Rhinolophus ferrumequinum: one gene and its partners. The main gene of each other region encodes a partner of the protein of the gene in region 4 in a complex. Links are inferred from orthologs where the notes say so. Each region holds a gene or a part of one and is shown on either strand. Other genes may lie near its edges.

Region 1 (6,981 bases), on a different chromosome or scaffold from region 4:
ATACAATAGCCGCCTTTTACAAATGAGGAAAATAAGTGGAAACTAATAAAGCCCTGCTTTTGATTGGGGAATCCAGGCCTCCAGAGCTGAGTTCCTTCCCAGCTGCCCCTTTAAAACCACATCCCAGTGCTTTCCGACCCCTGGTCTGTCAAAATGATGCTCTTGGTCATTGCTGATTTCTGAGGTGTCCCAAGAGAGTTGATAATTGCTCTTATAACCTGAAGCGTTCTGTTCTCATCTCACACCCTTGTTTACAATAGTTCTTGAGGCTTGGCAAGTCCTCATCACTGGGTTTTCTGAAGTGACAGTTAAGTCTATGACTTGACCACGGGCAAGGGTGGAGGTTTTATATACTCTGAAATATTTCAGTGACTGGCTCCAAATTGTTTTGTGGGACTTGATTGCCATTTTATCTTTTATTTCACTAACAATAAAGCAATCTTATTTGAATAGAATAGTTATTCAGAGCCTCTTTTGGACACTGGGTTTTTAAAGAATCTGCTGAACTCCAAGGACCCATTCCTGAGAAAAATGTGCACATGTAGTTTTGCATATAGTCGCAGATTTTTTGGTGGGCTTGCTTCAGAATATCTAGTTGAGAGTTTTATTCTTCAAAGTAACTATACACACTTTCATTAGTTGAAGCTTTAGGTTTTAAAATTTTCTTACACGGCAAATTTCTTTTCACTGTGATTTGTTAAGTGAGATACATTCTTGTATTACTCCTTATGGATTTAACCTTTAAAATATTTTTCTGTTCCTGAAACATCCAAGAGTGAAGCTACTGGTTTGTACATAGGTGTTTCTGTTTGGTGTCTAATGTTTATGAACCATTTGCTATCTTTGGGATAATTTAAGATTTATTAAGTACCTACTCAACAGCTGAAAATATTGTCAAATCTATCACATAATTCTCATTCAATATTTACAGTAACTTTATGATATAAGTAGTAGTATTCCCATCTTACAAAGGAAGAAGCTGGAGGCTAAGAGGTTAAGCAACTTGCCTAAGATAACTCTAATAGCTAGCAAGTCAAGATTGGAACCAGGTTTGCCTCCATTGGCCATGGTCTTTTCAGACACTCATTTGAAAAACACAGATACCTGCCTTAATCACAGCAAAGTTTACCTTTAATACTAAAAAACCAAAACCAAACAAAGCAAAAATGTACACGCACAAATATAACGTTAAAGGAAATTAAGATGAAAAAGAAAATATACCTAACGTCCTGCTACTTTGATAAATCAAACTAGGACTTTTACAACATCTCTTCACGACTAAATATTAAATAGATACCTTGGAAGGATGAGGAGAGAAAAACTGATATGAAAGAAGGCATAAAGAAGTTGAGGAGGTAGCTTAACAGCAATAAGTCTGTTAGAGTGTGGGGATCCTACCTGACTTGTTCCTGGTTTGGCTCAGAAGTCTTTTAAGAGATTAAACATCTTCTTGTTGTAGATTAATCCTGCAATAAAAATCCCACTAGAAAAGATAGTGGACTCTATGTGAGTCCTTTTTTTATTTGGCTTAAGAGAGAGACCTGTGATCTGTGACATCCATCCCATCACATTTGGCTTGAGCACTGGGAGTTGTGGGAAAGAGCTTAAGAATGCTTGGAATGAATGAATCTGAACTCCTGGCAAAGGACTGATAAATAATACTGGAAGAAAAACTGAGGAAAGGAAGAACGGAAATGGAGAGCCTTATTTAGCCTTTGGCAACATCCCCTGAAAGAGAACAAAGTAGTGGAGAGGAGCTAAATTATGTTGGAGGCCAAGCTGTGTGCCATTGGTTGTCTGAAGTCGTCTTACTGCATGAAGAAGGTAGATGTTAGTGATTTCTTTGAAGTAGTAGTGCACTTTTGCTTTCTGTTAAAAGTCATAGAGCAGTTTACCAGTATAACTGAAATTGTGTGTTGTAGTTCCTTTTTTAAGCTGCATTTATATAATTATTACTAGTAATTTGACCGTAGGTTAGAAAGCCACTGTTTAGTGATTTAAAGATGCACAAGTGTAGAAATCCCATTCTTTAAATGATGAAGGAAAATCATTAGACTTGAGATTTTATTTTGAGATGACATATGAACCTTATGCTCTAAAGGCAGATTTAAGAATGTGGGATATGCAAGTCTGGTTTCTGAGGATGACAGAAGTTACATGTTACGAAGATTCTTAAGAACAGGGATCTAGTATAGAGTGAACTCAGCACAGAAACGACAACTTAATAATATGCTTGTCTTGATATGTTCTGTTGCTTCAAGCAAGTTGTGTGGGCTGTTATCTCCTGAGAAATCCCTATAAATAGTATTAGTAATACTTTATAAGTAGGTGAGGAGAATTATTTTTCTGAAGCGTTTCGAAATTCTTAGATGAAAGGCTCTGTATGGAGCAAATTGGTATCAGCCTGTTCTCCCTCTTCTGATGCAGGAGAAAATAGGCACCTTAGGGTGGGAAGGTTGGCTTATCTTTTGGAGTTCTTTTATAAATTGCTTTTGTTGAATTTGAAGTGGATATCAGAAGCTCCTAAGGATACAGTTAACTATAAAAGCAAACTCTTTGGGATTTGGGATTAGGGATTAACTCTCTTCCTCTTAGATTTAAAACAGGTTTAAATATTAGTTTGTAATTGGGCAGACTTAGGGGGAAAATGTGGTCCTTTGATGATCCTGGATCCCAACTTTGTTTTTTTCTTACTTTTTCTGTATTTCAGAGAAGGGATAAGGTTGACTTTCTGAAAAGGAGTCAACTTTTATTTTCATTTTGAGAATCTCTTAAACTAACCTGAAATTTTTTGCTGCCAAATAACTTGTAGGAGGTGTTGGGACAAAGTTTAAAAAAAAAAACTACATTCATTTACAACGTATGCATTTAAATGTGCATAGTCAAATGCATCCATGTGAAAACAGCTTTGCTTAGAAGATTTAAACCAAGTTTTTGCTTTAGAGAAGCTAACAGTCTAATGGCAGGATAATAGGTATATATGCACAAGTAACCATAGCGCATGGTGTTTTTGAAAAATGCATGTTTCTTCCTGAATTACCCCTACTTAAAGAAATAATGGTGCACAATAGTAATGTAAATATTTTGGAATAACTTAATAACAGGTTTTGCTGTTTATGCATTTGCAAGAAACTTTCTATTAATGTCAAAGAAAAATGAACCAGTCTAGATGCATAGGAAGGAAGGTAGGGCTAATTTACTTCCGTGTGCCTTGAAACCAGAGCTGACAGGTCAAGTGTGGTGTGTTCTCTCTCCCTCTCTCTCTCCCTCTCTCTCTCTTCCCCTCCCCCTCTGCCCCTCGCCCCCTCTCCCATCCCCCCTCCCCTCTCCCCCTTTCCCACTTTCCCTCTCTCGGACTCTCCTTTAAAAGGAACACCTGTTGCAGTGGTTAAAAACTGGTCTTGCGGGTTGAGAATGCATATTCTCTTTAAAAATGAAATATATTCTGTTCCAGTGTTACCTGTACTTTGCTGCCTGTGTGACTGCTAAGCTAAGCTCTCTCTCTCCAACTGTACAAGAATTCCCAGTCAACTAGTAGGTGAAGTTTCCAGTATAGATTAGTCACCTGATTTACAGCATTTGCTTTCATAGCTTTATCACAGATTGTGTTTAAAATCTTCATTGCTTTGCTTACCTTTTAGGGTTCAGATTTACTATCCATTCAGTCTGTGGTCTTTAGCCTTTGGCAAGCTTCCAAATAAACAGCTCTTTTGTAGAGATTGTACCTGTTTTATTTGTTCACCCTTGGGTGGTGAACCAAAGATCGCTTGAGTAATACGTTCCTTCCCCACCTTCAAGCTTGCTCTAGCAGTGACACACACGAGTGATGCCCTCCACTCCATGGGGTAGGTTGGAGGGGATTGGGCTTTTGAGGGCCCGGGAAGGTAATTGACGCAATTTACATTTGTATAATGAAGAATTGAGTTCCAAACAACCATCTACTAGTAAATGAACTCTTAGAGTTGGTGGCCTATTTGTAATGGGAGTTCTGCATGTCACGATCCTTGGTCCTACTGGTAGTTTATAATCTAGCCAGATTTAGTTCTCAAAAATAAAAGACCCCACTTCTTAATCACTAAGAATAAAAAACGAAGGTCGACTTAACTGCAGTATGTGACAGCAAGTTTTAAAGCACAGGACCTTTAGTTTCCTCACAATTTTGTCATAGATTGCCCAAGTGTTTCTTCGAAAGCTAGATGATACTGTCAGTTAACGCTAAAACAATTAGCTATCGCTTAAACGGGTGTATGAGTGTGGGCTTCGGACCGATTATTGCGTGCGTCCTGTGCGCCACGGGCTTGTTTGCGAACGTGTTGCACAAGACCTGGGCTCCGCAAGGTGGGGCTGTCAGGAGGCGGGGCGAGCTGGGGGCGGGGCCTCCCGGCGGTGTCACCAGTGCGCATGGGCGAACAGGTTCCTCCGCTCTGACTGACCCCTTCAATTTCCGCCGCTGTCCGAAACCGTTGCGAAGGCCGTTAGCTGAGCGCTCCCGGAGCTTACTGACTGACAATGTCTGACGAAAAAGATTCCCTGCGGGGAGGCATAGAGGAGGGAGAGGAGCGGGTGGTGAACATCACCAGTAGTGCGTACTCCGTGAAGCAGGCGGAGGAGGAGGCAGATCCCATGAAGGTGGAAGTGGCGGTGGGGGCTGATGGCTGCTCTGAAGGCTGTTCTGACGACCTCAGCTGTGGAGAGGCCGACATAGATCCAAATCTCCTGGGGCTTGAGGCTGACGAGGAGAAGTGCCGGAGTATCCGCAAGCAGTACCGGCAGCTCATCTACAACGTCCAACAGAACCGTGAAGACATAGTGAACACAGCGAGCGACTCGTTGAGCGAGGCTCTTGAAGAAGCCAATGTCCTGTTTGATGAAGTGAGCCGAACAAGAGAAGCGGCTCTCGATGCCCAGTTTCTTGTTCTGGCTTCTGATTTGGGTAAAGAAAAAGCCAAGCAGCTGAACTGTGATATGCGCTTTTTTAATCAAGTAGCATTTTGTGACTTTCTCTGTATATTTGTGGGACTAAACTTGATGGAAGATAATGGACGTAATGCGTTGAGTGGTTGTGATGATAATATAGCTCTTTCCTTCTGGGAGACAATACAGAAGGAAGCAACATCCTGGATATTGCAAGCTGGAACATTCCACTTTATTTTTGGTTCATTCAAATCAGAGTCTTCTGCCCGAAAGCCCCGACGTGAGCACCAGAAAAAAACTCACAGAATGGAAGATAATAGGGATATGCCTGTAAAACTGAGGAAGTTGGACTTGAGTAATAATCAAGAAGCGACAGAAAAAGAAGTAGAAAGAATCCTGGGATTGTTGCAAACGTACTTTCGAAAGTATCCTGATACTCCTGTGTCCTATTTTGAGTTTGTGATTGATCCAAATTCTTTTTCTCGTACCGTGGAGAATATATTTTATGTTTCTTTCATTATAAGGGATGGTTTCGCAAGAATAAGGCTTGACCAAGACAGGCTGCCAATATTAGAGCCAATTAATATTAACCAAGTGAGTGAGGGAAATGATCCCAGTTCCTATGGCAGGAAACAAGGGGTTATATCTTTGAGTTTACAGGACTGGAGAAATATTGTGGCGACTTTTGAAATTTCAGAGGCTATGATCACAAATTCATACTAAATATTTTTGTTCCTAGTATAGGATGCATTTTGTGGCTTTTCTAAAAGTGTGTCAAAATGCAGAGTTAAATCCAAACAAAAGCACATATTGTTACCTCTTGTAAAGTGAAAAAGTATTTTCAAGAACATCAAATTGTTTACTGTGCAGTGTGATTTTCTTGGTAGTTTATAAGATAGTCAAGACCTTCTGTTATTAAAAAAAATTTACTGGCATGTTCATGGGAAAATTTTTTGAATGTCCTTTGAGACTATTAATAAAAATCATTTCTGAATTTCGTAAGTTAAAAGGTATTTGATAATTTGCAAAAAAAAAAAAATTTAGTTATGATGCCCTGTGATACTGTGTTCCTCTGTTACAGGGAACCAAGGGAGTCCCATATGGGGCTCCTAACCAGGTTGGGGAAAGAGTGGGTGAAAAAAATGGTAAAAAACATCCATAGGGCAGTGAATATGCAACATTAATACTATAAAAAAAAAATTAAGATGCCTTGCTTCATTGCAGAGAGGGCTCAGGTCAATGAGTGGGTATCCATATTCTAAAAAATTTCTCCTGTGATTAAACTCAACAAAAGTCGAGTTATCTCTACTCTAGTAGACAAAGCATCAACTAAGTGCTGAAAAGTCATTAGGAACTGGTCAAATACAGGAATGGTATTCTAGGCAGGGGATATGGAGGCCAAATATATGGGATTGTGAGAAATTATGGCACCAGAGAACCATAAAAGGTTTTGAAAACTATTCCATTTGAATGTTAAGCGGGGCAAAAATTGAATTACTTTGTCTGTCATTCTCCTCAGAGATAGAAGATATTTTTGTCAGATTACTTCAAACACAAAAATCGTTTAACAACCAGTTATAGTCTTGATATACTTGGTTAATTTCTTTTCTGGCCCCTACTTTCCCTTTGTAACTTCTGCTAGTACACAGAGTGTCCTTCAGAATCAGTGATGTTTTATTATGTAACAGCCTTGAATATTTGTTTCCAGTTCAATTTGGCATTTCTTAATAAGGCTTTAAATGCCTGGAAACTGTCCCTGATTAAACTGAAATACAGGATTAACTTATCCCAAAGTTCTTTACTTCGGATAAAACCATAAATGCTTTTTTTTATTACTTGCAATTGTTTTAAAAATACATATTATAGACTTATTTGGTGGTTATTGCCAAAAATTGGGTCTTTAAGGAAACAGTTTTTGAAGGTGCAGTGAGTATGCCTATAAGCTTCTTTTCTTGATCTCTATAGGAATTTAATCTTCGGTGGTAGTGGATTTTGCCATTAAACATTATTTGGCAAGTGGATAAGTATTTTGCATAGTAGTAATGATAAACTTTCCAACTAAGCCTA
Region 2 (7,842 bases), on a different chromosome or scaffold from region 4:
GGACGATCCAAAAAGGTTTGACAGAGGACATGAGATTTAAGCTAAGCTACAGCGAGAAGAGATTTAAATAAAAGGAGACAAGAAGGAAACCTGAGGATGAAGCTTGGGGAGGTGAGGGAAGGGTCCACTGGAGGACACAGCCGGGCTTAACAGAGACAGGGTAATCAGACCCCTTAGGAAACGGAGTGTGAAAAAGTGCTCTGGGACACGTGCAAAGGCAAACTGAAGAGGAAGGCAAGCAGAGATGAACACAGCAAAGTTCAAGCACAGAAATGCCTATGCCGGGCGTGTTCCTTGAGGCCATTCCATTAGATCACTGATTTCCAGAACAATCCTCAGGCTGCTGACCGTGCTGACTCCTGTGTCTGTGTTTAGAAGTCACCTTCCCCCCCTCAGTTTTATTTCAGGAGAGTGCAGAAGTGGCAAGGAGTTGAGAGCATGAAGCACAGGCAGACGCCGGTTCCCGGGCTGTTCTAGATCCCCCTCGCCCATTTGCCTCACAGCACGTACTGTAAGGAAAGAGCTCTGCCGTGGATGGCTCTGAAGGCCTCTACACAGATAAAACTGAGACCATCAAATCCACGTACACCGAGGATCTAGAACTCTGTTTGCTGACCAACTCCTCGGGCCCAGCTGAGTCGATCATTTTGCCATAAAGAGGTAATACAGTCAGTACAGTGGAAATAGCCGTGTGGGGAAATGGTATGTAGATCAAGAACTATCAAGATGCACAGTAAAGTATCAAGGGAATGAAAGAGTTGAGGGTAACCTTGAGGAGACTCACTGGGGGTCCAGGCTTGGGAAAGAAAAGGCTAAAGAGGGTAGAGGAGGGATTTGACCAGGTAAAAAGGAAAGGCTGGTTCTGGAAGGTCTGGGTGAGATGGAGCCAATCGGTAGACCAAGATGGGGAATGGTAAGGAGGTGCGGTCAGAGTAAGAAAGACAAAAATCTAAGTGCGTATAGACAGAAAAATGTTAAAAGGGAACAGTATTAACCATACTGGCGAATGACCAGAAATAACTGTTCTGGTCTTCAGAGAACAAGAGGAATTGTGGTATCCGGCAGTGCAAGTTCTGTTGACTCTTCTTTACCGCTGCACTTGTCCAAATTCTCCCTTTCTGTTCCCACGGAACTGTCAGAAGGGGGCCTGGAAGGAAAGCGGTCTGACCACTTGTCCTAGGGCTGTGACCCAGGCCCTACATCAGGGAGTACCCTGACCTGTCCTCTGTCACTGAACAGACTGCTGCTACCATCACTGCTGCTGCTTTTAACAAAGTCATGATTCTTTTTTAAAGCCCCCTTACCCCATGGTCTATAGCTCAGTGCTCTGAGATTTCTCTCTCTCTGTCATGCACATACCCCCCTGACTGGAGACCAACAGGTCCACCTGTAGACATGGCCACCCCCACTGGGTTGTAAGTGGACCAACAACAGCAAGGAGCTGAGGGAAGGGAGATCGGGAGGACGGCAGGAAAAGCAACTGGAAGTCAGGGGTCAGCTCAGTTCTTTCTTTAACTCATCCATTCAACAAATGCATGTATGTATCCTGGGAACACAGCAGTAAATACAACAGAAAGATCAAAGATAATACATGTAAAGTTCTCAAACAACAGAACAACCTGAGTGGCTCATAAAAACAGATTGCTGGCCCCACCACCAGAATTTCACATAAAAAAGCCCTTAGTATTCGCTTAAGGAATGGTAAGTGCACCATAAAAGTGACATTTAGTATTGCAACAATGAAGCGGTTTCCAAAAACTAGTAAAGCACTATTATTATAAATGTGGGAATTGTTTGATGTCAAAAATTTGGCTCTTATATAAAACTAATTAAAATGATCCTAAACGTCTAACAACAAACTTCCGTATATAAAATAATGAATTACCTTCATTAAACAGAGTGTTGGCCTCTTCAAGGACCTCTGTTAATTTGTCGCTGGCATTCAGTATATCCTCCCGGTTTTCTATTTTAAACAAACACAAGCTATTTTACAAAATACGAGCTTTGGGAAATGTACTCATCGTTCAGTAACAAGTCATTGACAAAGTGATCACCAGCTCCATATCCAAGCCCCGCCCCACGGCAATTACTTCAAACATCTTTATCTTTTCAACCAAAAAGGTACAGAAGAGAAAGGTGGTCTGTACCCTTTAAGCAACATGAACTTTAAAAGGAGACCGGCTCCACCTCACCTTCACCCAAAGGGCTGACTCCTTGAAGCCTTTAAGGAGCGCTCCTAACAGAATGGTTCTCAAACTTTGCAAGCCACACCAGCCCCTGGAGAGCCACACAAGAGATGGGCGGGCCACGCCCGGTTTCAGATTGCATTTGCATTTCTGACAGTTCTCGGGTGCCGCTCCTAGGCGGGCGACCACTCCCGGGAACTGCAGAAAGCAAGAGGGGAGCCTAGGCTCCACGTCCCACCTCTCCTCCTTCCTCGCCGTCTGGGCTCGGGGAAGTCACCGACCGCGCCTGGCCTCCAGAGGTGCCGTCCTGCCCAGCGGGGACCTGAGCGCCCCTGCAAACGTCGTGCAGCCCGATCGACACCACGGATGTGGGCGCACTCAGGGCACCCACCGAGGCGCGGCCGAGCCCGGGGCGCCGCTGAGCAGCCGGGCCGCGCAGGGCCTGCGTCTGGCACCTGCCCCACCCGCCCCGCGCCCCGCCTTACGTTGGACCGAGTTGATGAGCGCCCGGTACTGATGGCGGATCTGGCGGCACAGGCCGTGGTCGGGTTCCTCCTCCAAGCTCGCCGGGTCCACCATCTCGTCCCCGGAATCCGACGGCTCTTCCTCCTCCAAGCTCGGGCGCTCCGCGGCCTCCCTGCGCTCGGGCGCGGCGCCGCGGCGGGACACGGGCGACAGCGGGGACCGCGAGCGGGAGCGGGTGCGATCCCGGTGCGGGTCGCGGCCCCGGCCCCGGCCCCGGCCCTCGGGCCGGCGGCCGCTGCTGTCTCCGGACATCGCGCCAATTCCCGGTGTAACTTCGGAACGGCGGAAGTTCGCGCCAGAAACTGAAACCCCTGCTCGGCGCGAGCGCCTGTCTCCACGGAACGCGACTCCGGGCCGGCGCGAGCGCACAGCGACGCCTGTGGCGGGAGGCCGGCGGCGGGGCCAGGCGCGGGCGCAGGCTGAGAGCGCCTCCCCGCGGCGCCAGGGGTGCCCGGGTCCCCGACCGGAGCCTTCCGCTCCCTGACCTCCGATGTACTAAGATCCCACTTACGCTGTAAAGTGGTGAGAATCTCGGTTGTGGGTACCCCGTACCCACCGCACTGGGCCTTAGCTCCCCAGAGTCTCTGGCGGCCCGGCACACAGCCACAGGCTGGCAACGTCCTGGGCACGCAGCGCATATTAAACACCATTTAACCTTCCCTTCTAACTGTCTGAACCAGGACAGTTTATGTTCATAATTGGATCTCAAGCTAAAATATTTAAAATACCTTCGAAAGGATTCAAGAAAGGGTCCCTAAATTCTCTTTGGTGCTGAGAACACATTTTTCTCAAAGAAACAATATTTTAAGTTGAGTTACTACACAAGGCTACAAAAATGCCATTTTTGTACTATTCTCTGTACAAAATGTATATATAGAATGTATACTATTCTCTGCTGCTCAACAGCAGATACCTTGCCCCGCCCCTACTTCCCTGGATTTCAGGAAAATTACGCTCTGGTGCCTGCTGCCTTAGAGGAAGAGGGATTGGCCTAAATGAGTCGTGGTAATCTCATCCCCGTTCCCGAGTGACTGGGCTAGCGATGGCCGTGTGGTCCAGTTCTGGTCAGTGAAGTGCGATGGGGCTTTCTAGCTGGATGAAACATAAGCCTCTAGAAAAGAATGTCTCTGTCCCCACCCCCACTCCTTCTTTGAGGTGTTATCATAAAGACATGGCACATGGCATGATGCAGCCTTCTGGTACTCATGAGGTGACAAGTGTGAGGAAAAACCAAAATGCTGAAAACAGTGGAGAGAAAGACGGCCATGGCTGAATTGCTGAGTGAACTGCCTACCTCCCAAGTCCTTGTTAAGCAAGCCATAAATAGCCTGTGCTTTACGCTACCATTAATTCCTCTGTAGTCGGTACTTGCAGCTCAATGCATTCAAATTGAAACAAATATTAAGCATTCTTCTCGGTGGAAGCTGTTTCAAGCTCCAGCCAAACAGACCTGGAGCATGTCCTTCAATTCAACACGTCTTGGTATGTGCTAATGGGCCAGACAGCCTACCAAGCGTAGTAGGTCACAAAGATGGCTCAGAGACTTCCAGGTTCTTACCGGGGGACAAACACGAAACTGATCCTAAAATTTACATGGAAATGCAAGGGACCCAGAATAGCCAAAACAATCTTGGAAAAGGACAAAGCTGGCAGGGCCCACACTTCTCAATTTCAAAACGTACTACAGAGCTATTGTAATTAAGACTGTGTGATACTACTGCCTCTTCCTTAGCAAAAGGACAGACATATAGATCAATGGGATAGAATTTAAAGTTCGGAGATAAACCCATACCTCTATGGTCAATTGATTTTCAAGACAATTCAATGAGGAAAGAATAGTCTTTGCAACACATGGTGGTGGGCAATTGGATATTGAGATGAAAAAGAATGAAGTTGGACCCCTCTCTTACACTATATACAAAAATTAACTCAAAATGGATCAGACCTAAAGGTGAAACTCTTAGAAGAAAACATAGGTGTAAATCTCTGTGACTTTGATGAGGCGATGGTTTCTTAGATATGACACCAAAAGCACAAGTAACCAAAGGAAAAATACATAAATTAGAGAACAAGTTTGTGGTAATTTTTTATAGCAATCATAGGAAACTAATACAGGTACCCAGGATGAGCAACAGTGGGAAGACATTACTACTCCTGGACCTGAACAGTCAGAGGGAAGAAGCAGTGTTACCAGAATCCCATGAGGGCTGAAGTCATGGAGAAGGGCCACCCGACAAGAGCTGTGATCCGAGAGGGGATGCAGCCATGCCAGGAAAAGAGAAAGTGCAGGCTAAAATACCCTGGTCTCTCTCTCCCGACATCTTCTCCCCTTCTTTTACCTCCTATTAGCTGAGGCCTGCAGGACACTGGAGGACAAGGAGAACCTGTGTGATGCAGTTTATATATCAGTCTCTGGGCAGAGCTGGGCCAGGAAACATTGAAATGGATTTGAGGTGGGTATTGAGACAAATGCAGGACAACCAACATGGTGGGTAAAGGGTATATCCGGGTCTATTCAGCAAGGTATAATAGCAACCCCACTACAGTGCCTTAGCCAAAATAGTGACAACATTTCTTGTGAAACTGGAAGTCTAGAAGTAAGCAGTCCAGGATTGGTGCATTGGCCTAATGGCCTCAACCTAGAAGTGGCACATGTCACTGCTGCTCCTAGCCTATTGGCCAGAGCTGGTCACAGAGCCCCAACCTAACTGCGAGGGAGGCTGGGAAACATATTTTTTGTTTCTCTGTTTCCCCATCCTTTCTTCTTTACCGTCAGAGTCCACTTTCCATCATAGAGACCCAAAAAACCCACGCCACATACTCTCCTTCCTCTCCTCTTTCCTTTGTGTCTGTGGCAGGGAATGTGGCCTGATTGTGACCACAGGATGAAGGACAAGTCTATTGAAGGCCTTCTAAGAAATGTTTTCTCCACTATAAAAATAGACACCAAGAGAAAATGCTCCTTTTTAATCCAATATTGTCATGTCCACATGGGTTACTCAAAATGTGGCAGCCATCTTGTGACCATGTGAGGACAAATGAAGAAATTAGCATTCCACGGCAGCAAGAGCCCAAGTCTTTGATGACATAACCAAGCTGCTAAGCCAGCCCTTGTCAGGGGCAGTAATCAATGTCATTGCTTCAACCACTTTTCATCACATGTTCTGTTGTTTGTAGAAAAACAAATAATGCATTTATTTCATGCTTAAATTTTCTAGTACCAAAAAAAAAAAAAAAAAAAGAATCTCAACTTGTGCAGCCAGATGGATCCAGAAAGTAGGAACTATGCCCATGACGAGAAAGACTGATTAGCATGGAATATTAATCAGAAACCAAGAGTGTTGCAGATGATGAAGCAGAGAACAGAGTGGTGAAAGGAGCTGACTGTGTAGGCTCCTTTCCCAGGAGCTGACGCCTCTGGATTACCCTCCTAATTAAAATGACATGACAATGAGAAACTGCAAAGTGAGGAGTAACCCGAAGGGGGGATATCTGGTAACCAGGACTAAATGAACACCCGGCAGAGAGGAGAGACACAGGAGAAGAGTTTGAGATAGGGCAGGGTTGGAGAGAATGGGTCCCCTGGTGTCACGGAATCGCTGCCAGGCTGCAGCTGGTGACCAGCTCTCTTGCAAATCAAATGGGAAAACATGTAAATTCTCAGGTGAGAAACAAAGTGTATAGTAGTTCTGGCAACATCGCTTCTAGGGAAAACAGCCAACTACAGGTGGGATCCTTCTGGTCAGATCTGATTTGGGGCTAGGAATTCTGGATTTGTGGGCCGTGTGTGTCCGGGCAAATCTGCATTAGAGCATCAGCAATGCATTTATTGCGGCTAGTGTCATAAACACGTCCCTTGGTGTAATTCAATATTCAATATGTCTCTTCGGAGATCTCATGGCTTTTCATCTGTCAGGCTCCCAGGAGAAATTGGAAGTTAGTAAAAACTTCCAGCACCCTACTTGTCTGCTAGTTGCTGCTGTACTAGTGAATCTGTGATGAAAAGCTGCCTCTTGTCTGGGTCCTTCATTTACTAGTGATACATGATCATTGAGTGCCTATTATGTGCTGAGCCACATGCTAGATCCTGGAGACACTAAAGACAACAAAGTCCTGCACTCGTTTGGGGAGAGACTCAGACATGAAGCAAATGAAAACAAAGATTTCTATACAATGGCCGCTGTGTTAAGGGCTAGGACAGAAAGGACTAGGAACTAGGCAAGAATTTTGACCTAGATGGCAGAGTCAAGATCATCCAGCTGAGATGGGACGGAGCACAGGATGCGAGCACAGGCAGGGCACAGGTGCGGACGAGAGCAGAGGACTGGGCAGCTGGAGCATTAGAGCCCGAAGCCTGACGCTCCGTGTTCAGGACCTGCTTCATTCAAAGATGAAAAATAATCACAAATATGTCAGATTAGACACTCTGAGGAGTCCCCTGCTGCAAAACAACCAGCTCCTACATATACCACAACTTGTATATACCCAGCTGGGCTCTGAAAACAAAGAAATTTTCTGCAGGAACATAAAAGGAAGCTAAAGTGGCAAGAAGGGAAAATGTCAGGAACTCCAGGTGGGCAGCTGCTGACGTGGACAAGCTGCAGTTCAGCTCAGAGGTGGCCGGCGGCATAGGGCTGAATATCAGCAGGTCTGTTCCACAGACTCTTCAGCTGGAAGGCAGGCATCATGTGCCCATTAGATGCCAGGCTCACCAGAGTGAGCAGATATCCAAGATCCCTGCTGTCACAGGCAGACACCAGGCTGCAATCTTATCAGGGAAGGAGACAATAAACAAGGAATAGACAAGTAATTTCAGAAGGTGGTGATATGAAGAAATTAAAAAGCGTATTGTGGTAAGGAATTATTATGCAGTGGGGGGCTAACTTTAGCCGGGGGTGGTCAAGGACGCCCTCTCTGAAAAGCTGACATTTCAGTGAAGAACTGAATAATGAGAGGGCGTCAGCCATGCAACCTTCTGGGGGATAGAACTTCCTAGATCTAGAGGCTTCTCTTTTTTCCCAAGCCTTTACTTGGAGTCTAGACACTGATCCCAAAGATTTTGAGAGGAAACAGCCCAGGACTGGGACATGCCTACCTTTATCGTTGAGGCCTCTGGGTCAGGGTGCCCAAG
Region 3 (7,770 bases), on a different chromosome or scaffold from region 4:
AAACAATACTTGGGAATGCAAATGGGAAACTAATTGCATACACTAACATTTACAGAAAGATATTACAAGCAGCTTATAGCAATCAATGTGAGTCACCACATTAGCAGAATAAAGAAAAAAAGGAATATGATCATCTCACAGTTGATAAAATTCAACATTTATTAACAGTAAAAACTCTTGAACTAGAAACTTACTTCCTTTATCTACTAAATGGCATCTACAAAAACCTACAGCAAACGTAATATTTAAGGATGAAATGTTGAAAGCAATCACTTTAAAATCCAAATTAATCCAATACAACCAAATCAATGCAATTCCAGTCAAATTCCCAACAGGCTTCATGTGTATGTGTGTGAGCTGACAAGATGAGTCTAAATTTTACATGGAAAATGTAAAGGCAAAATGGCAAAGACATTTCTTGGAGAAGACAAAGGCAGGAGAAATTGTTTTTCCAGGAACCACAACTTATTTTAAAGATAGAGTAATGAGTAAAATGTGATAATGGCATAGAAATGGACAAATAAGACCAATGGGACAGAATACAGAACTCTGAAACAGAAACACATACATGTATGGATACTTGACGTGTTGAAGAGATAGAACTCCTAACGAAAGCAGACTTTTCAAAAAACTTGGCAGAACAACTGATTATCCATATGTGGGAGAAAAATAAAAAAAATAGACCCTTACCTCATGAAATTCTATTCTTAAGGAGTAAGGTCATAAGAAAGGAAAGGCTATGAAACTTTTGGACAACAACGTATGATAATAACTGTATGACTCAAAGACAGGGAAGAGTTTCTTAAAAAAAAATAAGAAAAGTACAAACCATAAAGGAATATACTGATATCTTCAACCTTGTTAAAATTAAAGACCGGAGTTCACCAAAACACCAGACAGTGGAAAATAGAAAGAGAAGACACGCTACAAACTGGAAGGTATCTGAAACACATTTAAGCCACAAAAGACTCACATTCAGAACATATATAAAGAGCTCCTACAAAAAGCAAAGGGAAGACAACTGTGAGAGAAATGAGCAACAGAAATTTGACAAAGAAAATGCACAACTAATAAAGATGTGAAAAGATGCTCAAACTACCTGTCAACAGGCAAATGAGTATTAAAACCACCGACTAATGTCTCCACTACCACCAGAGAGGCCAAAATCCTTAAAATGGCCGAGGCTGAGACTCACCCACTGCCCATAGAGTGTAAACCCTTATAAGCACTTCAGACAAGTTGATTTTACCTGCTCATCTGTATATCCTCCGAAATCCACTATCAGGTACATACCTTACAGAAACTTTCCCACATTGGCCCCAGGAAATATGCTTATAAAAGCACCATGTGGGAGCAAAAAAACTGGCAAAAAGTATAAGTGAAGACCAACTGAACGGCCTCCATAAAGTGTGTATAATCTGACCTTGGAATTCAAAGCACTGAAGATGAAGTAGAGCTACTCACAGCGACACAGATGCATCTAATGTATACATGGTGTTAAATGCAAAAATCGAGTCACACAAAATATGTTAGGATCCCATTTATATAAAACTCAAAACCTAGCAAACCATGCACTGCATTCATCAGAGATACATCAACAGTAAAAACAACAAAGAAAACAACAGAACGAAGAACACAATACTCAGCGCAGTGGTTCTCTTTGGTGAGGGAAGAAAGGATTCAACGGGGGCTGTGAGGACATGAAAATGTTCTAACATGGTGGGTGGATGTTTGTTTTATCTTCATTCTTCAAACTTACATTGTTATAGATATGTCACATATCTTAAAAAGGGAAGAAAATTATGTAAATATGTTAAGCCAAAATGTTACTAAAGAAGAACTAAGTAAAGAACGGTATACAATGCTGTACTTTGGGGAAAGGGGAGGGCAATGGGGGTGAAAGACAGGCTTGTTCTGTCCTAGGATTCAGTGTTCTCCCGGAAGAGGGACTGAGTGGGGAGGCTGACCACGGACACGCACTGCCCTCCCAATGGCCTTCAAACAGAAATGCTTGTGGAATAAGCAGATGTCAGTCATAACCATCCACGTGTGCCATGTGCTACAGCACAGTCTCCTTTACTCGTCACCAGAACCTTATGAGAAAGCCATTCCTTACTCCATTTTACACACGAGGAAGCCGGCTGAGGGCACAAGGGGACACACACAGTGATGGAGACAGAGGGTGACGACACAAAAGCGCAGTTCAGGATGTGTGGCACCCCCGCCAGCGAGAAATAGGAGTAAATAATAACATGAGGATCCCGGCTCCTAGTCTGCAATTGTCAAATCTAAAAAGGTCTGAACATCAAATCTTTTAAGTTTGAAAACTGGATCAGATCTAAGGTGGGGCTATCTATGGTCGTTCTTTATCCCTTTTAGTGTAAACCCGCGTGTCTTCAGCGGCGGTACTACGGTTGTGACTGACTACAAGACGCTGCCCCAGACGCCGCTGACGGTGGGGCCTAACCTGTGGAGAACGCAGGCTCCCCACCCTCCTCCGGAAACCCCGAAACGCGGGGTTCTGAACGCTGACAGCCGCGGGGCTTTAACGTCGGGGCTGTGGACTCGGACACAGCGAGACGCTCGGCGCACAGAACGCGGGCGCGGGGCGCGGCGCCAGTGGCTGACGAGCAGTCGGCGCGGGCCGGCTGCACGCACTCAGTTCAGACACATTTCGTACTTTTCTTCACCTAACATCATGCTAAGAACTATCTTCTCATCTAATATCACGGTTTAAAAGTGTCCCTGTGAGAGGGACGCGTTTCCGGTCTATTGGCCCTCGCGGCCCCCTCTGGGCCTCAGTTTCTCCAGCCGGAAACGAGAAGCCCCGGGGCCCCGGGCCCTCAGCGCCGCACTGGGCGCAATGCGCAGGCCGCCCCGGACCTCAGCCCCACCTTCCGGCCTCCCTCGCCGCTCCGGACGGCGTTCTCGAGTCGCCGTTACCCTCGGAGGCGCCCAGGAGCTGCTCACAGGGCCCGCGCCGTTGGCAAAAAGCGGACTCGGCTCCTCCCTCAGGGCGGAGCACGCGACGCTCCCATTGGTGGTCGTGCAGGTTCGTCCCGCCCGCTCGATGACGCACTTCCCGTTACCCCTCCCGCGCCGTTGCCGTGGTGCCGCAGGATCGATCTGTCAAGTCCAGTTTTAGGCGCTTCCCTGGCCTCTCTGGGGACTTTATGGAAAAGGAGGAGGAGGAGTGCAGCGTGCGCCACCCTCATGGCCGCGATTTCCCCACCTGTAGAACTGGCAGTGTGGCCTCGTGGTCAAGGATGGGGGGCTCTGTTGTCATATATCCTGACCAGAATCCTGGCCCTGCAACTTACCAGATGCCTCATCTTGGACAAATCACAGAGAGGCGCTGAGCCTCAGTTGCTCCTGTCAAACGGGGATAATAGTCCCCACGTAGCAGCAGCGTGCTTGTGAGGTTTACAGGACAACACGCATGAAGGGCTGATATTGAATGTTAGCGACTGTCCTGCTCTGGGAGTGTTGTGAGGAGTAAATGAAGTTATCGGTGGAAGTGGATGGGCACGTTACCATCGTTTGTATTCCAGTCCCTGGTCTGCCAACCAGGACCCAGTGCAGCAGGGAATAGGGGTGGCTAATTACAGAACAGCGGGGAGTGCAAGTATCTCTGTGACCACAGCCTCAACCCACCTCCACCCCACCCGCAGGCCAGTTAACTCTGTTGTGACCTCGGACAATTCAACCGCCCTGGACCTCAGTTTGATCATCGGCTGAGCAGGGAAAGCTTGGGCTCCAGAGCCCAAGCTGGATTTGAATCCAGGTTCTTACACTCAGAATCTTTGAGACCCAGGACAAAGTAGTCCCTCACAGTTCGTTCTTCTGTAAAGCAGGGATAATAATACCATTGTTTTGATGGGCTTGTTATGAAGATTAAATACATTAATACATGCAAACACTTAGAAGAGTGTCTGGCACATAGTAAGCCCTCAGTAAGTGTGAGCTTCCAGTATGAACAAAGTACTTTACAAATTGCCTTAGGGTCAGTCGAATAAGAGAAGAACAGCCCTAAGAAGGACTGGGCTGCCATGTTTTGTTTGCCCTGCACAGTTGTGTACACTTTTCAATTCATTATCAACATTTAAAGTTGAGGGATTTCACAGAAAACCCTGGGGTGTCTGTCCGCTCTTGTAAAATTGGGCAATGGGACAACAGGCCACACTTGTTCAGAGCTTGGTAGAAACTGTCCCTTTGTAATGCACCGTGTTTTCCTGGAGTATAGAGGGGGAAAAAAAACCCCGAGGACCATGAACACAAAATGCTGGGAACACTGGCATTTCAGGATGAAAGGGCCAAGGAGGAGGTAGAAAGAGAAGACAGGATTCAAGACTGTGGTGTCAGAGGCAAACAGGTAGAGAGTTTTGAGAAACAGGGTGTGGTCAGGTTTGCCAGTGCTCTGGAGAGGTCAAGAAAGATATGCCACTGATGAAGAATTTCATGGGCAGTAAGTAAGTGCTGGGAAGTCAGCCTGGAGGGGCGCAGCAGCCTGAGATCTCGGTGAAGTGGTAGTGTTGGACAGGAGCAAGTAGTGGGTAAGGACTGGAATTGGCAATGAGGGAGTGACCCATCACAGGGCGACTGTCCAACCTCAGCATGACCACCCTCAGAAGACTGCCCACTCTCCAGGTGGTTCTGTGAGATTCTATTAGGAAACTTGGATGTGCCACGAATTGGACTGTTTGCTACAAGACTGTAACACTTCAAATGTCCTTCTGAAAGTTGGCCCTAAAAGATACAAGAGCTACACGGACATAAATTTGTTGTACATATGGAGGTTGCCTAGGCCTTGGCTAGAGAGAAAGTGTGGGGCCAAATCACAGGCTAAGGGGCTGTCTTTTACCTGAGAACCACAGAAGCTCAGAGAGGAATTGAGGAGACCAAGTTTGCATTACAAAAAAAAATATTTGCATATCTGTTCTTTTCAAACATACTTGGAACATTTACAGAAATTGACTACCACAAAGGAAGCCTCATTGAAATCCAGATTCAATAGGTCACATTCACAACCCACAATAAAGGAAAATTAAAAATCAATAACAAAAAGAGAGCCAAAAAGAAACCCATACAATTCAATAGAGTATACCTTAAATTAGTAACAGTAGGAGGGGCCAAGAAGACAGGCTAGTTTGTCTTTTTATCATGTATATCTATGACTTATGAAAAATAAAATTAAAAATTATAAGCATACATTTGAATTTCATGTCTTCGGTTGGAAGTTCATTATATTTTTATACTTTTTGTATGTAGATAGCTTTTATGACACATTTTTAAAAGAAAAAAACGTGCATTTGTAAACTGAAAAATACATGTGGATTTAAAAAATGTATATGGAAATCACAAAATATTTAGAAATGAATGACAATAAGAGCCTTACATAATAAATTCTGTGTGCTCTAACTAAAACAGTAATTAGAAGGGGGATTATAGCCTCTGGTGTACTTATTACAAAACAAGAAAACAAAATTTGTGTTCCATTTAAGAGGTAGAAAAATAAATAAACCCAAAGAAAATGGAGGGAAAGAAATAATAATAAAGCAAAAGCAGAAATGAGTAACAAATGAGAAACAAGAGAAAATCAAGTTGATTATGGAAACCACATACTCACATAAATTTTGGATTTACTGCGTTTTAAGCTTGATCCAGTGGTGGCAATGGGTGTGGATTGGTGGAGCAGAGAGGGGAAGTGACCCTTCCACTCCGCCCTCAGCCTAGAGGGATGCTGACAGGCCCCAAAGGCCAAGATAAAAGCCATTCCTGTGTATAGTGCGGGCAGAGTCAGGCACTGGCATGAGAAGGATACACAGTGCTGGCAGCAGGGTCCACTGCTCAGTCTTCCTAACAGGCAGTGTGGCTGTGCTTTTCCAGAGCCTGGGCCTACGTGCTGTGTGACAGGGGACAGCATTTGCAGGGGGAGCTGAACACCTGGCTCCTGGCGCAGCTTTGCTGGAACAGGCTTCCCCCTGCACAGCTGTGGTAGCTGTACCTGTCCGGTAGGTTGGGGTACAGTCCCTCAGTTTTTTACTGGCATAAGGGGTCTTGTCCAATGCTGGGACCACTCTCAGGTCCAGAGTGATGGCCTGGTGTGGGAACTTCAGTCTTGGGGGGAGGGGCGCATATATGGAAGGCATATATGGAAGACCTGGGAAAACAGTGCCGAGTCAGCCAAGGACACCTCGAGAGATTCCAAACACATAGCCCCCACACACAGTCAGCGACCGTGGGCTGGTAGCAGCTCAGCACCCCACACCCCACATTGTTTGTCTATTTCTGTCCCTGTCTGACCTTCTCCTTCAGTCTCTGAACATCTGTCTTTGTCTGACTAGGTTCAAGATATTCATGAAACATGCTTGTCCATGGAAAAACATTCAGCCTAAGAGAAAGCCTATAAAGAGTCTATCTGTGCCAAACCGATGCCAATTGCTGGGAAGCAAAATCTCAACGGACTGAGAAAATGCTTCACAAAATGGTGGTTTGCAGTTATTTTATACACAGAATCAAAGGAGGAGGGTTACATGAAATCCATTGGTGGTAGATTAATGGGGTGGGAGAAAGCAAAGCAGGGAAATCTCTGTGATTAAAGTAAATTGGAGAGACAGGTACTTCTTTCACATAGGTGGGTACAGGATAGTTAATAGCACTTTTCACAGCACATAGAGATGGGAATCCAGAGAAGAATAATAATGAGGGGTTCTACAGCTTCCTGCTCTGGTGGTGGGGGGAGGGAGGCATTACTGACATTCCAAAGGGTGTGTTATTTTTGATGCAAAAAGACAGTTGACAGGCTCACTTAAGGTAAAGACTGACCTTTGTCTAGGAAGCTGCAGGCCAAGGATGTGACTTCCCGCCATGGCCCACCTGAGTTAGGAATTTGTATGTTCACGCCGTCCTATACGTGGTTATTTTCAGTCTCCTGAGCTTGTCAGGTTTCACCTGTGGCCCCTTTTCCATCCTCATGCTCTTGTCGTCACCCTGCAGAGACCCTTTCGAGCCCCCAAGAGACCTCACTTCATCCCTAGCTCGGGATGTCTTACCTACCCCTGTTCCTTTTCTATCTCCCTACGTCTCCTACATGTGGGGTCCCTGACTCTCCTGTGTGCAGGGTTCCCATATGTATGTATTAAATCTGCTCGTTTCCTCTTGATAATCTGTTTCATGTTTATTTGATTATTACAGCAGTCAGAAGCCTGGGGGTAGAGGAAAGTCTTCCCCACATAAGCAAGTAATCAGATATTTAATAAAAGGTGAAATTTGGGAGTGTATCTACATCACTGGGTCCTGAAATAAGATTCGACAATTTAACTAAACTAAGTTATTCTCAGGACTGAGTGATTAGCTCAATGAAATATGTAACAATCTACCAATTTACCTTCTGGACGTGAAACTTTTATTACAGTTTCAAAGGTGGGAATGAAGAGGACCAGAAGTTTTGCCCTGGGGCAAATTGACTTTAAACTGGTTCTTAGGAAACAAAAGACTCATTTAGAACCTTTGACCCTCCCTCTTTTCTGCCTAAGAGATTCAGATGGAAAGAGCAGGTTTAGGGAGGGAACCTTGGCATAAACTCCTTAGCATAAGGCGGGAAGACGCCCAGGGAGCCTGCTGACCACCCTTCCCCCATGTCCCATTATTTTCTGGGTAGCCTGACAACAATTTACCTCCCGAGAGTGTGCCACTCTTCCTAAATTACCTGCAAAGCACCCGATCTGAACTCGCTGCCTTTGGAATTTTTACACGTATGTGAATTCCCCA
Region 4 (7,486 bases):
ACTTCAATAACCTTATCTGATGTCCCGTAACCGTCACCTCAAACGTCACACATTGAAAACGAAACCTACCATCTTTCCTTCCAAAACCACTCTGGTAGTCTCATAGCATCACTCATCCCACTGCCCATATCAGAAACCTAAGCATTAGTTTTGAATCATCTTTGATTCTACCATCTCCTTTACTTCTACCCAAAACACCCCCACACACACACACATACACATCATCCAATCACCAAATCATGTTGGTAGACATGCAAATCTGATGCCACATGCTAAAAAAAACACAAAAAAACAAAAAAAAAAAAACAGTATCCTTTATAACTTAGCTCTAGCTTCACCTTTGTCTACTTTCTATCTCCTTCCCCTATTCGCTAATCAGACCTCTACTCAAGGTACTCTAAGTATATAAAGAATTTCTTTTAGTTTCTTGACTATTTTAGGCTTCGTTCTTTCTCCAAGTCTTTGCGCATCCTGTTCCTTCTGCCTAGAAATCTCTCCCTCCACTCCCAACCCCATTTGTCTTGGTTCTCTCATAGGAATCCTTCCTTTGACCATTCTCTTTCAGGCCATTTTGGTTGCCTAAGCCTACCCCTTACTTCTTTCCTAAAACTCAAAAGTCCTCTTCATGTGAAAATAAACAAAACCTCCCCGAGCTCTGCACTTTCCAGCCACTCTTGTTCCCCTCTTCACATCTAGATTTACTTCCTCACACACATTCCTTCTTTCAGGACTTACAAAGTTTTCTTCTTCCACTGCTTTCTCAAAGGGTCGAAGATGTTCTAACTGCTAGATGCAGGGGGCCCTTTTCAAGTCCTGTATCTACTACATTGAAATGTAGTAGGTATTTTAGAAAAGCTCTTTTCCTTGGCTTCTTTGATAATACTCTCCTACAGTTCTCCTCTTACCTCCCTGAATAGGTCCTTCTCAGTCAGTGAATTCCCCTTCTGTCTAACCTTAAATGTTGGCATTCTCCAGGACTCTGTACTTGGCCTTCTATTCCTCCTAGTTATATTTCCTCTTGGGCAATCTCAAACATTTTTGCAACTTCAACAATCACCTATATACATGCTCCCAAATCTCTCACCTGTTCACATTTTCCTGTAAGCTCCAGACATTTATAAATACTGCCTATGGAAGGTCTCTTTTAAATGTCCCACAGAAAATTTCAAGTCACAGGATGCAAAACGCATTTATTATCATTCTCTGCAAACTGATCCTCTTCAGACTAGCACCATACCTGACCAATTAGCCATTGCTGCATTCCTCTTACCCTCATGCTTCACAATTAATTTGTAGCCAGATCCTGTCAAATCTCTTTTCTTTCCGCTCCTACTCACCATCTGCTACTCATAGGTTCAAACCCTGGTTATCGCTTGCCTTCATACTGTAAAAATCTTGCCTCCAACCTTGCACCCTTTCTGAAGCATCTTTCATTCACACTGTTCCCAGAGCAATACGAATCACATGCCATTCCCTACTTAATACGCATACTGGTTCCTTAGGGAATGAGGCTGGAATTCCTTAGCATAGTAAACTGAGAGCCTCAACAGTTGCCTACCTCTTCAGTATCACTTACGTCCACATATTCACTCACAGCCTGCGTTCCCGCCTACTAAAATACTCGATGCTTCCTAAAGATAAACTCGCAGGCAGGTCCTTCTGTCCACAGTGCACTTCCCTTCTTTTAGTACTTTCAGAACCTCCGTACAAAACCCTCTCTCTCAGTTGTGGAAGATATTAACTTCTTCCTTTGTGTCCCCATGGCATCCTGATACATACACTATTACGATAAGGAACTTATGTGATGATCTTTCCTGATCTGGATTCAAATAGTAATTCAGGTACCTATTAGCTGTGTAAATGTGGGCAAATTAATCTCGCTGAGTTTATCTCATCAATGGAAATAATACAAAGAGTTGTTATTAGCAAAGAATGAAAGCACTGTATAAATAAAGCACCTATTTCTATACCTGGCACATGACAGGTGCTTGAAAAAAATGGTGATGTTGTTCTTGCAATTCTGTTTCTCCTACACCACTATGTGCAAGCTTAAAAAAAAAAAAAATCCTCGACCAAATGAACTAACTGTAAGGTGCTATAATAACACGGTATTTTTTTATTGAAACATATTACTAAATCCTAAAATGATTATTATGATTATTGTCTGAAAGGAGAGAGAAGAGACCAGGAAAGAAAGATGGATTTGTAGGTGTCAAGAGTCCGTTGGGAGGCCCACTAATGAGAGTATTAATTTTCTTGTACATTTCAACCTCTATCCCGCAGAACATTCACCATTTATCCATGGCAACTTCCTACTCTTTATGAATCTGCCACATCATCAGTGTCACTCTGTTGCTTCTTTCTTGTGTATCCCCAGGGCCCATAGTTTTGAGAATTACAAGTTATGTCCTCCCTCTATAGGTCGTGATTTCCAACGAGCAGAGATCTAATCCCTACTATATCCACTGCCCGCCAAATGACGCCTTCAACACACGTTGGTAGAATAAAAAATTAATAAAACAACAACCCGCATCCACAAGACACACACCTAGCACACCAACACAAACGTCAATCTACACAGCCTACGAATAAAAATCCTCACGGTAACCACGACGCAAATTCACCGCCAGACCCACAAGCCAGGGACACATCCACCCACCCACCCACACGTACGCAGCGTGCACCCCTCGGGCCCGCTCCCCGCCCCCGCCGCCGCACGGCCTCCCGCCACTCACAGGAAGTTCTCCATCGCGATGCGGACGATGGAGCCTTCCACGAAAGGCCCGGCCGGCAGTGGGGGCGCAGAACTCTTTCTCTTGCTCGGGACCTCCGACGAGGGATCTCTCGGGGCAGCTCTCTTGGAGGCCAGGGGGGTTGGAGTTGAGGTCTTCCCACTCGGAGTCGCCATCCTGGCTTCCCCTCCGCCCCGTAGCGGCTTCCGTTCCCACCAACCTGCAGCCCCCACGTCCCGCTCCCGCGCGATCTGCCAGGCGCGGGATGCCGCCCGAGAGCCGTCCCGCGCCTGCGCAGTCACGGCCAGATGGCGTCAGCGGGCAAGCCCCGCCCTGGGCCTGGAACGCCTGCGCGAACGAGAACGCAGGTGGCTGGGGGTGGGGACTAGCGGGATGCTGGTCTCGGCCCTTTCTCTGTACCTTCTTGCATTTTTTCAGGGTTTTTTTTTTTTCCAACTTAAAGAAAGATGTCAATTACAGTTAGGATTTTGAAAGCTCTTTTAGCGCTCCAAGGAAGCGGATACTCGAGGGGAGAGAGGCGTTTGCGGTGGCACCTGGGACCCAGGGTCGGGGACACCAAGGCGGGCACGTGCGACCAGCCTTGTGCGCGTTCCGCCTGAGTGCCTGCCTGCCCGAGTGCACCGGGACTCGCAGGTCTTTGGCTCTTCGTGTTCTAGTTTGCTTCCTGTTTGCTTTCAATCAGGTCCCCGTGTTAAAAAAATGAAAGAAAACTCTTCCAAATGGCTCCCTTAAAGCATTATGCTAGGTCTCCTGCGCTCTATAACTTGTGAAAAGATTACACCGCACTCCCCCTTCTGTACTTTCCACCTCTCACTCCCTAATTCCCCGAGCTAGAATGCCCTGGCTTCACTTAAAGCGTACTGTCTCTTAACCCTGCTCACATTCATCCAGTAAACATCTAGTAAGTGCATTAAAGATGACGTGCAGTGAGATCTTCATTCACTCAACTATAATAATTAATGCCTAACCTACAAGAGGCTGGGGCTGCCGGCAGTAAAGGAGCCAAAGTTGCGTGTTTGCGAGCTTACGTTCTGGTGTGGGAGACAAAAAGAACAAGCGAACCAACTGACGATCACGATCATTTCTGGCTATGATCGGTGCTATGAAAAACAACCCAAAACAATGACATGGGATGGGGGAGGCACGGAAGACCTGCCAAAGGAGGTTGACGTTTGAGCTAAACCCTGATGGAGTGGGAGCCAAATGCGTAAATAAGCAAAGAGCAATTACAGGCCAGCACAAAGATGTTGGAGGAACAAAGGCCGGCGTGGCTGCAGTGGAGTAAACAAGGTTGCAGAGCAGAGCCTTGGCCATCATAGCACAGCTGAATTTTCAAAGCAATGGGAAGCCATTGGATGGGTTTAAGCAGGAGAGGGACATGATCTAGCTAAAGTTAAAATGACCACTCTGGTTGCTGTTTGGAGGGGTGAGAAGGGGAAGTGGGGAAGCCAGTTAGGAAGCTAATGCAGTAGAACCCTGATTTCTGACTCCTGGACCAGTGCTCCTTTCCCAGGTCCCTGCTTCTTCCTTTCATGCAAATGGAACCCCCGCTCTCTAAAAGTTATAACCAAAGAAAATAGAACGAGTTAAAAAGCGTGTGAACTTGTCAAGGTTACTAGACATTTTTAGAAAAGCAAATTACAATAAGAATAATTTTAAAACTGTTCAAATGCCAGGAAATAAGAAAAATACTCAGTGTTTAGGAAGGCACTATACTGCCCTTCCCTATCTTGCTAGTACACATTTTTTTAAAAAGTAACTTCGGAGGCGGCCGGTTAGCTCAGTTGGTTAGAGCGCAGTGCTCTTAACAACAAGATTGCAGGTTGATTCCCAACATGGGCCACTGTGGGCTGCGCCCTCCACAACTAGATTGAGACAACTGCTTGACTTGGAGCTGATGGGTCCTGGGAAAACACACTGAAATAAATAAAAAAAAAATAAAGTAACTTGGGACCCTGCTTCAAGAACCTTAGAAAAGTCTAATTCTTTGAAGAAATAACTGCTTTTGGGGGAATCTATCCCAATGGCAATTAATATAGGCCGTGGTAATGGGAGTTGAGGGCAGGGAACCAGTCTGATTATTTTTGTACCATCACCAGTTTTTTAGTGAATTAAATTGTGCTTATAAACGTGAATGTTGAGAATGAGCCCCTGAACTTGTGATGACCCCACAAATATACATACACTATGAGTTCTTGTCTAAACAGCCATCCAGTCATGATCTGCCACCATCCTCTAAAAAGGAAAATGTTACTGGTTTTGCTTCTTATTGCAAAAGTAATACATGTTATTAAACACAGAAATTTGGGGAACACAGAAAACACACATATGCAAAGGGAAAAATCACTCATAATTCCTCTACCCAGCCTAATCACTGTTAAGATTTTGGTGTATCTTTTGATGTCTTTATACTAGTATGTGTACGGTACGCTCCTTTCATTAAAAAAAATCAGGATGATACTGCACAAATTGTATTATACATACTATTATTTTATCCCATTTTCTCACTGCATATATTATGAATATCCTTCCATGGCATTAAACATTTTTTCTGTGACATAGTTTTAAGTAGCTATGTAGTATTCCATTAAACAGATGTACTGTAACTGATTTAAGTACTTCTTCTTTCTCGGACTTTATATGACTGGAAGTTAACATGAACCCAGGATACTCGGGAGACTATAGAAGCTCACTGCTTCCTAACATTCTTTAAAAATTTTATGCACCTGTGAAAATATACACATTTATCTTGCCACATGTGGATTCTTTAATTCCACTGGCGAAAACTGTCTTGCAAAGGGTGGTGTTAAAGATGCAGAGGGAGAAGTTCTTTAGAAAGATTATCAATTAACCAGAATGTGTCAATGAGTGAGTGAGCCATTGTAGCTAATCCTACACTTCTCAGGGTTTAAATTCCAGTCATAAGCTGAATTCATCACCCCATCTTTACTAGCTAATAGATCTAACAAGGCAATTATATTTAACTTTCTACCGACCGAGGAGTAAGTGACCAGGGGCCATTTTGTATGAAGGCCTTCCATTCTACCGAAACTTTAAAACTGATGCAAACAAAAACTGGCAGAAAGGGGCGGGGTCAAGGATTATAAATGTATTTCACTTCACCATCAAAACACCATCTTCTGTGTTCTCTTTCCTGGCTTCACATCAAGTCCTTGATAATGGTGCCACAGTAGCAAGAAGCTGGGGCAAGATGCATGGAATGGGACGCTGCTGAGACCATCTCGGACTGAGACAGTTCACTACTCCAGTTCTAAGAAGAACCCTCCCAGGTTAACAAGAATAATTTCCTCTGGCTTATATACCAAGTGAGAGGAAATACTACTTTTGGGCCAGTTCATAAAGTGGAAAAGTGAACCCTCATGGCTTGAAAGAGAGGGAAGGAGCAGATACTAAAACCTAAGACCTTGGCACTCAGGAACAACCCCTGTTCCCTGCTCCCCCAAACTTCCCATCATACACTCTTTCTAACAGACCTAATTAAAGACCTCATGGGGGAATATCTAGGCAAGGATGAGGGATTCTGGGGAGAATCAGCACCCTTCCTCAGGGGAACACAACCCCATACAGCAAGCTTCTGCTAAACATAAGGATACCTAGTCTCTAAAGTTTTTAAGTTTTTAAGTTGTTTCAAACATCATAAAAACAATCAAAATATGTGGTTCTTACTGTAGTAATATTAGTAATAGCTAACACCAACAGCATTTCCCATAGACAAGCTACTGTTCTAAGTACTTTCTTATAATGCATTTTCTATTCTGGATCAAAGTCTCAACAGATTTGCCTCTTTCCCAAATTTCCATCTCTTGGATACAAAAACCAACTGAAAGATAAAATCATTAGGAACCAGTATCAGGGTTTAAGTGTTCTTTGTGATGTGTCTTGATAGAAAGCCTAGAGTTAAATAGGCCTTCATTTCTTTTGAGAATATAAAATGGGAAAACAGTATAAATTGCTCCAGAAGGAATTTACCTTTAATTTCAGAAAGATCAAGAACAAGGTGCTAAAGCATTATGTGTCATCTTCTCTGCAAGTCCTTGCAAAATGAATTGACAGTCCTTGCCCAGGCTAGGTCTGGAGCATCTGGGGGAATAGCAAGCATTTCCCCTCACACCTTGTTACTTCCCAAAGGAAAGAAAGTTGGTAATTGTTCAAACTGTGGAGAATCTGTTCAAATTAGCTGCATGAATTATAAAATGAGTCCTTTGATATCAGTCACCAAGAGTGACGTTTCATCTCAGCATTTCCACAGGCTGGGGTGCTGTTGAACTCTCCCATAAACTTGTTGGTTTTAAATTCTCACTTCCACAGGTTTGATTAGTAGCCATAAAATTCTTTTTATAATTAAAACTGTACTTGTTTTTTTATTATTTTAGGAAGTTTGTCATTCAAAAAGCACACAGCAGAAACTAACAACCGTACATCCATATTTGTGCATTCAAGAATTAACACCGTTAACTATTTGGCATGATTTCGTCCAGTATTTTTTCTTTAATCAACTTTTAAAAAAATTACACAGGGAATATATGAATATATTCTCCTCTTAAAAATGAGAACAATGCAGATAAAATTAGTGTGCAGTTGACATTCTTTTTCTTAATCTTGATCCTGCACTCCTTATCCCCTAGTTAACTACTCCTAGATACTCGTTCAGTGTGTAATGTAATGTCCTTTAAGCCCATTTTTATATTTTACATGCATTTTAACTACAGAAA

What was found.
Region 1: SMC5 (region 4) and EID3 share a complex: the UniProt entries of both Homo sapiens proteins name them as parts of the SMC5-SMC6 complex. The link is inferred for Rhinolophus ferrumequinum from reciprocal best matches to the Homo sapiens genes SMC5 and EID3.
Region 2: SMC5 (region 4) and NSMCE4A share a complex: the UniProt entries of both Homo sapiens proteins name them as parts of the SMC5-SMC6 complex. The link is inferred for Rhinolophus ferrumequinum from reciprocal best matches to the Homo sapiens genes SMC5 and NSMCE4A.
Region 3: SMC5 (region 4) and NSMCE1 share a complex: the UniProt entries of both Homo sapiens proteins name them as parts of the SMC5-SMC6 complex. The link is inferred for Rhinolophus ferrumequinum from reciprocal best matches to the Homo sapiens genes SMC5 and NSMCE1.

Annotation. Positions count from the first base shown.
Region 1 is NC_046293.1:15,688,254-15,695,234, reverse strand, and holds EID3 (EP300-interacting inhibitor of differentiation 3), read left to right. Parts: upstream 1-4,419; 5' UTR 4,420-4,509; coding exon 4,510-5,637; 3' UTR 5,638-6,468; downstream 6,469-6,981. UniProt on the Homo sapiens protein: Tissue-specific component of the SMC5-SMC6 complex, a complex involved in repair of DNA double-strand breaks by homologous recombination.
Region 2 is NC_046299.1:8,115,730-8,123,571, reverse strand, and holds the start of NSMCE4A (non-structural maintenance of chromosomes element 4 homolog A), read right to left. Parts: upstream 3,010-7,842; 5' UTR 2,964-3,009; coding exon 2,672-2,963; intron 1,964-2,671; coding exon 1,886-1,963; intron 1-1,885. UniProt on the Homo sapiens protein: Component of the SMC5-SMC6 complex, a complex involved in DNA double-strand breaks by homologous recombination. The complex may promote sister chromatid homologous recombination by recruiting the SMC1-SMC3 cohesin complex to double-strand breaks.
Region 3 is NW_022680357.1:19,109,142-19,116,911, forward strand, and holds the start of NSMCE1 (non-structural maintenance of chromosomes element 1 homolog), read right to left. Parts: upstream 3,008-7,770; 5' UTR 2,895-3,007; intron 1-2,894. UniProt on the Homo sapiens protein: RING-type zinc finger-containing E3 ubiquitin ligase that assembles with melanoma antigen protein (MAGE) to catalyze the direct transfer of ubiquitin from E2 ubiquitin-conjugating enzyme to a specific substrate.
Region 4 is NC_046295.1:36,824,438-36,831,923, reverse strand, and holds the start of SMC5 (structural maintenance of chromosomes protein 5), read right to left. Parts: upstream 3,014-7,486; 5' UTR 2,909-3,013; coding exon 2,736-2,908; intron 1-2,735. UniProt on the Homo sapiens protein: Core component of the SMC5-SMC6 complex, a complex involved in repair of DNA double-strand breaks by homologous recombination.